Linked DNA regions of Oryzias latipes. The protein of the gene in region 1 interacts with the protein of each later gene in a pairwise test. Links are inferred from orthologs where the notes say so. Each region holds a gene or a part of one and is shown on either strand. Other genes may lie near its edges.

Evidence for each region. The genes of interacting proteins can lie anywhere in the genome.
Region 2: the proteins of araf (region 1) and nelfcd interact in binary tests that used the Homo sapiens proteins (3 or more experiments, as listed by UniProt). The link is inferred for Oryzias latipes from reciprocal best matches to the Homo sapiens genes ARAF and NELFCD.

Annotation. Positions count from the first base shown.
Region 1 is NC_019867.2:28,410,335-28,413,834, reverse strand, and holds part of araf (serine/threonine-protein kinase A-Raf), read right to left. Parts: intron 1,976-3,500; coding exon 1,872-1,975; intron 733-1,871; coding exon 630-732; intron 505-629; coding exon 350-504; intron 1-349. UniProt on the Homo sapiens protein: Involved in the transduction of mitogenic signals from the cell membrane to the nucleus. May also regulate the TOR signaling cascade. Phosphorylates PFKFB2.
Region 2 is NC_019863.2:26,966,359-26,970,611, forward strand, and holds the start of nelfcd (negative elongation factor C/D), read right to left. Parts: upstream 2,801-4,253; 5' UTR 2,642-2,800; coding exon 2,585-2,641; intron 1,852-2,584; coding exon 1,739-1,851; intron 1,607-1,738; coding exon 1,497-1,606; intron 1,422-1,496; coding exon 1,312-1,421; intron 1,221-1,311; coding exon 1,113-1,220; intron 833-1,112; coding exon 680-832; intron 1-679. UniProt on the Homo sapiens protein: Essential component of the NELF complex, a complex that negatively regulates the elongation of transcription by RNA polymerase II.

The DNA of each region.
Region 1 (3,500 bases):
ACACAATCTGCACAACAATAAATATGTCAACAGGTCAGTGAGTTCTTGCACAAAATTGATCAAAAAACAAAGCAAAATGTTGCAAAATAAATGGTGCTATATTCTAATATTTAAAATAAACTGGTTCTTGAAGACTTTCCGTTTCTGAGCAGAAAACATCAGCATTTGGATGAAACATGAAGATTGTGATGCCAAACCTCAAATTTGGATTTTATTTGGGTTCATTCGCCTTTTTCTTTATCGTTTTATTTTGACATGTTGTGGATGTTTCCTTGTCGGTGTTGGTCTGCTGCATCTGCTGCTCTCGTTGCTTCATGTGATCAAGAAGAAGAAGGGAAGTCCGACTCACCGCTTGCTCACCGTGTCCATGTCCAGACACACGGTGGGGACCTTGCTGCTGCAGTGCTGGTGAAACTTGTAGCCACATGTCTGACATCTGAAGCCATTAAAAAGAAACTTGTGGCAGAAATCACAGTAGGCCAGCTTGAAAAACGTTTTCCGTACCTAAGAAGACAAAAAGCCATCAAGACATTAATTACGTCCCCTAGGAAGACTGAGACAAAAATGCATAGAAAACCTCAGTCAGTTCAAAGATTTTTATGGGATGCTGTGCGCTTCCAGACACTCACAAAGTTGTGCATGGTGAGAGGAATGTCGTCCAGAACCTCCACTAGCAGCTCCTCTCCAACCAAAGGAGTGATGTCTGTGTTCCAGTCAGTCAGTCTCTTACGACTGGAGCAACGAGGAAGAGGAGGAAAAGAGAAACATGAAGACGTGGAGATGTAAAGAGTTTTTGCACAGCTGGACGGAGGCTCAGATGGATTTAACTAAGATTGTCGAGTGCAAACTAGCAGCAGAAAGCAATCGTCAGTGAAGCTTAGACTCCAGGACACTTTGTGGAGCACTGGATGTTTCTGCACAGGTGAAACTGTAAAAATTAAACTTTAAGTGCACTTATTATCAGAGGACGTGACTTCCATTAGCAAATATTACAAAGTATTACTTATTTTAGTTTGTCATCGCTGCAACATGAGGTTTTGGTTGATGATTATGGTTTAGATCCATCAAGATTAAATTAATAAACGGCTACCGTATAATACTATTTTGTACAGGCCTTAAGAATTAAAAACAGAGCATACCTGTAAGATAAAGCTTGTGACTTGCTAAATTTGAAACGTGGATGAGACTCGAGAGCATAACCTGTGCAGATGCTGCATGACATGCAACACTACCGTGAAAACGATGCAACTGCTGCATAAACTGCACAGCTGCTGTGAAACAGGGGCAGCTGATGCATGACATGTGCTAACCGCCAACTGACAAAAATCAAATCAGTATACATCTTTTTTGTTTCTGATCATCTTCCCCTTTGAGACGCCCTCCACCTTCTATCTCCACTCATCTCCTCTTTCTCATGAATATGGCTCTTCATGAATAAATTAGCTTGGATGATGGAAAAACACATTCGTTTACCCACAGATGGATGTTTATAAAGAGAGGTCTGCACTAAAGTCTGTACCACACAGTTTTAGAAACCTGCATGTTTGAATGGATTCCACCATCTGGGTGTCTAAATCAGAACTTTGGTTTAAATAAAGAACTTTTGGTGAAAAAAGTTTTGTGCACGAGCTTTCAAACAATAATTATAACGATGAAACTGAAGTGAGCTGGAGGTTTTTAAAGCAGACAAAACTAAATATAGTGGTTAAAAACAAAACAGATCCAGTTGAGTCCATTTCATAAAAATGTTTTACTCGTTTCAGTTCCAAATCACCTTGATGAGTTTATGTTAACCTAAACTAGTCTTGCTGTGTGTGCTGTGGTTTTCAATCAGGATGTGAGGGGGGCATACAGCAGATAGGGGGGCTTACCCTTCCAGGAGGCGGAACACGGCGCAGCAGTCTTGGCTGAGGCCTCGCACTTTGAGAGCTTTATCCAGACTCTCGTACACAGTCTGACCTTGGCGGACGTTGACCTGCAGACACACACCGCGGTGAAAAGTTCAAGTTTCCCTTTGATCATCTTTTGATCTACTGTAAAAGCCTTCCCACTGGCCTTTTGATAGTAATTATGTCGTTTCCAGCCTAAATTTTAAAAAAAAAACTGTCATTTTCTAAAGAGTTCATTAAACGATTCCCATCTGCATTGAGCGACTGTTGGTGCAGTACAAGCCTGCCCCTACTTCCCGTCATCCATTTGTTTATAGCTATCCAGTCGTACAGTTTAGAGCCAGATTCCAGCTCTGGCGAGGAAAACAAAGACGTTCATGGATCCATTTGTCTGTCAATAAATTACTGCTACAATCTTTTTCCAAAGGCATTATTCATCTGCTCCTGATTCATAATGATTGGAATAAAGAAATTCTCAGAAATCCAAAATTAAGGCTAATTTTTGTAACCCTTGTGCTATCTTAGGCACTTGGGATTTGGGTCATCTAGACCCACTAGACAGTGCGCTGAACCTTTTTTCTTCAATGATTTGTGATCTTCACTGGTGATTAAAGGTTAACCCTTGTGCTATCTTAGATGTCTTATATTATATTATTATATATATAGATCTTATATTGCGTCCGTCGTCAGAAAAATGCCACAAGAACATTTTAAAAACATAAAAAAGACCATTTTCATTGGAGTGGGCATTTAAAGACACCTGATGGTCAAAACAAGCAGATGGGGCAGATTCCCACAACGGCTCAAACAGACCAGGACTTCAGCTGTCACAATCGTTGAACTTTGCCTCCCTGCCAGGTGTGTATGTAGCCTTATATGCCCCTGTGTTCTGACGCACTCCTAAACCAGAGTCAAAGTGGTTCAGCACCAGCCTCCATCCACAGAGGCTACTGACCAGAGTCAAAGATGGGACTATAAGCCATGTTCCTGAAGATCTCAATGTCATCATCTTTGACTACTCTGCTCTTCAGACCAGTTCTCAAGGCCAGGTACCTGCAATCCTCCTCACATTCAGATGCTGCAGCTAGACAGTCATTCTGAAGGTATCCACAGAAAATAACCTTCTGATGGAGGTAGCTGTGAGGGGGCGGGGCTCTGGCAGCTCCTTCATTAGAGAGCGCCCTCTTTCTTAGGGATTACTTTATGATAATCTCTGCAAACCTGCTGTCAAATGTTTTCAGTGGCTTTTCCTCTCAACAGCTACAGATAGCTAAACCCCGCACTTGGGAAAAAAAGAGGTAAAAGGTGAAAATCATCGGAATTCCAAAGACGCTTTAAGCTGCAGATATCAAACTGAACTTTGTGACGCTTTCATGTCAGAGGGAGAGGAAAAAACCCCCTTTGCATGCTGGGAATTTTTGTTTGGAAAGGTTAGGTTTTTCAGCAGCAGAAGGGAACAGGAAGAACCTGATGGCACAAACATGTGTGTTTGCTGTTGTGATGTGACACAAACACTGATATGACAACACAGCGGAACATGAGATGGATCTTTGGCGTGTGGAGCATGAAGGATGGTGGCGGCGGGATCGTCTGAGACACCTGATGCCCGCT
Region 2 (4,253 bases), on another chromosome or scaffold:
CTCTAAACTGTACATCTGGATAGCTCCAATGTTGCTCAGGTTGAGGGTTTAAGGTGCTGAAAGCTAGCAGGAGAGAGGGTAAACAGATGGGTGACAGGAAGTGGGGACACACTTACTCTGAGCCAAAAGTCCCACCCACAACTCAAAAGGCAAATTTCTAATGAATTACTGCCGCTTTGCAGAAACTATCCTAGAAAATGACAGGATTTTTTTAATTTTGGCTAAAAATGGCATAATCATAATTTAAAAAAAAACATTTGGGAACGTTTTTCTAACCTAAAGAGGATCGGAGTAGGAGTAAGTCCTAGTAAGTGATCAAATGAAATTTAGTTATGAAAAACACATCTAATTCCAGATTTACTCTAAATAAAAACTGATTTTGCACCCATGATAAAAAAAAAAAGGATTGCTCCAAATTTCCTATTGTGACAGAAAGTGGAACCAACAAAGACAAGAAAGGCAGATCAGGTTGGCCCTAAAGGCTGAGCTGCTTTACCACACGCCAGAGGAAAAGCGTCAAATGCAGAGTTTGTAGAGCAACATGGTGGAGAAAACGTGGAAACTTTAACAGCAAGTAAGAATGCACACAAAGGACAGAACAATCTGAGAAAGTGTTAAATCTCCTACAACTACAACAAAAAAAGAAACGGTGCTTTAATTGGTAACACAAAAGCCTCACAGCAAATTCTGGCAGGGTCTTCTCCAGGTTTTCCTCTCCTCCATCGAGCAGAGTGGCCAAAGATGTCCTCAGCACCCGTGAGAAAACCTCCAGCTGCTGGCAGGCTGTGGACACACTGGTGATCTCTCCTTGGTAACCAGCATCAGAAATAAGCTACACGTTTGAGAGGAAAAACAGAAAACTGGAGGTAAAACTTTGCGTGGTTGTGTCATGCAGAAATACCGAAAGATAATAAAGATTCAATTTATTTTCAAGGTGCCAAAATGCTCCAAAGGGGTAATGTTAAAAAACTCTGAGATTATGGTAAAGAAGAAAACTCAGAAGAGAAGATTGCTTTAGTTTATCTAACAATTAAATAAAAAGTCCTAATTAATCATTTCAGGGCAGTAAAAAAGTACATTTTAATTCAGCCCTAACAACACCACTGTGATACCTTTACTGTGAAGTTGAGCATCAAACAGTCAGGATGAGCCTCAGCTAGTTTATAGAAAAGATCCCTCCAGGTTGTGTGTGCGATCATCTGTTCGAGCCAAGCTGGAGTCTAAACACGGAGCAAAGCATCATGGGAGCTTCATGTTGGTTCAATTTTAATTGGAGGATCCATTAAAAAATATAGGATAAATAGAGCTCACCTCTCCCTCAACAGTAAAAATAGAATCTGCTTTCTGGGGGTCGAAATGCTTTATGAGGAGACTCTTCAGGTGATTTTCCACACGCTCTTGGACCTGAGCGGGTTCTACACCTGCAACCAGGAAAAATGAGGATTGAGCATACTCCAAAACAAATACAGGAAATAGGAAATAATTGAATCAGTTACCCATCTGGATTAACCACTCAGCGAGCAGATTCACAGTCTGAGCCACAGCAGAGTAGTTTTCTGACAGAAGCTGGATCACATGTTCTGGAGAGCCACCGGCCTGAAAGTACCTGCAACACCAAAAACGGCTGTCAGTCTCCCAGAAGCCACAATATGACAAAAGCAAATCTTCACACCAATATAGAACGCCATAAAAGAAATGACACAAACTAAACTGTTGGATTTGGACCCCAGAAGCTTACATTTTGAGGGTGCTGAAGATAGCAGGCTCCATGATGTAATCCCTGCTGGAAAACTTCTGCAGACAAGCCTCCTGGATTGCACCATCGGTCTCTCCTTCCATGTGACCGTCCTCCTGTAACAGGAACGTTTAAGCTCCAACATTCAATTTAACACATAAACGTGTCAATAAGCATTAATGGATTCATAAACCCAGACAAATTCCTTAATGAAAAAAATCAGGGCAAAAGAATCATAGTATCAGCCCATTTATAGGACAAAAAAAAAACGAGCTAAAAGTATGATGATGAAGAAAGAGATCATCTACAACAAATTCAATCAAGCTTTATTAATAAAAACGCACTTGTCATGCGTTTAAACTGCTTAAAGCGCTTTACAGTTAAAAACAAAGATTTAAATAAACATACAAATTTAAATTCAAAATAAATCATCAGCCCACACACAAGACCCCGCACAAAATGAAAACTGGGTAAGAAAAAAATCATGATTATAAAAAAATCCTTGTTTTGGTTTATTTTACATTTCACCTTAATGTATAAAAACCCAATAATAAACCACATGAGGTTTAATTTTTGTTTTAAAGGCTATTTTGGTTATGACTTTTATTTTGAAGTGATGCTAGCCCGTGACAAAGCTAACTGTTTTGGTACTTGAAACACTTCTGTTATACTGGCCGAAAGACGAAGTTAACAATAAAAGGAGGGTCTTAAAACTTCGAAAAGTGCTCAGCGTTCACACTCTGAAAGAGCCGTTCTCTCGGTGTGTCAAACCCGGTTATTTAGCTAAAAGCTTCCGGTCTTCTTGTCGCTAGGAGCGGGCGCACACAGCAACAAGCCCCGGTTCCTCACCACGTTCACGTCTGAGCTCTCCCAGTCGCCTGGGCCGCTGTAGAAATCCTCGTCCATGACTGCAGGAACGACAGTCACGATGAACTCACTGCAGAAGCTGAGCTATGCGGGGTACATGTATCGCAGACCCGCCTTTTCTCTGTGCAAATGCTGATATTTTAGCTAATAGGCTAACAACAACAGCAGCAGGAAAATGGCGAGGATGTGACGTCATGATCACGCCCCCAAATCTATTTGGGTAGCCCCTGGTTCAGATTTAAAGGCTCTAACTCCTTTACAATTATGAAGTCTTAAAACATTTCCTCTCGTATATAACTGTATAATATATTTGGAAGAAAAAAATTGCCATAAAAGGCTTGAGCAGTAATAAACTGGTTACCTTTACATTCTTTGTGTCAAAATCACAAATTTCATATATATAACTGGTTAAAAAAATGGGAGGGGGGGCAATCAGACCAGGTATTTACATATATGAACACATCTATAGATATATCCATACAAATCTATACATCCATCCATACATACATACATACATCCAGTATACCGATGGTCAAATAAGTGATTTTCAATACAGACGTTAATATTTCTAGGTATTTAAATTGCATCACACATTCACATATTTTTTCTTTTAATTTTTTATGAGCAGCATCTAGAAAGGAGAGTGGGAAGAAGAAGAAAAATGCATTCATAGATTCAAAATGCTTTATTGTAACTTGTTCGATTAGATACTGTCTTTCAATGTCTTTTTTTTATTTGTAACATTAATAATTAAAATCTATATCTTAATAATTCATGTAAAACAATTTCAATTACCCTGTTTGAAAAATAAATTAGCTACCTATCTTGTGCTCAATAAGCTAAAAAAGAAAAATGTACCTCATAGAAGCTCTCCATAAGATGACATTTGTTCTGCAACCAGAAGAAAAAGAAAATTGGAGCCACCACACCAAAAGTTAAATCAAACTTCTGCTGTTTTTTGTAATAAATATTCTAAAGTATCAAAACATTTTACAAATGATGGACTATGCTTAAAGTCTTTATGTTTGGGATCAGATTATTTGCATTTGCATACACATGACTGAAACCATAGGTGGTGAAAAGTATTTATTTACACATTTATGCCTCAAGTGATGCACAGTGTATTTTTGCTTTGTTTATTACCCAATTTTGTAGATTTCATATTTACTGTTTCAATTTTTTCTTCAAGTTGGAACTTTGTATATCTCTATAGGAATCCCAAAACTTTGTTAGCCCAAACACTGACCTTCTTCAGGAAAACCATACTGTCCTCTAGACTGTATAATTTCAAAGCAACATGTAAAACTTGATGTTTAAATATTTGGCCATTGATTTCCAAGACCAGTATTTGTTGTTTCACCATATTTTTCACTCACATGTTCCATCCTGGATCGTGGAGGTTGCCAGGTCCCATGCCATTTCTCAGCATTAAAAATTCACAGACTGAATAGAAAAAGAATCAAAGATCCACCAGATGGTTTGGGGCAACGAAAAAACACTCGGATAAAACATTTGCAACACGCTGGGAGAACAGCGTGCACAGAACCTCAGATGGGATTTGACCAGGATCTGCTTGGAGCCAAAAGGGTAACTAACCTCTGCAGCGAGACCGGAAAAAGTCAAGCCGCATCAAGAATTCCAACTATTCACT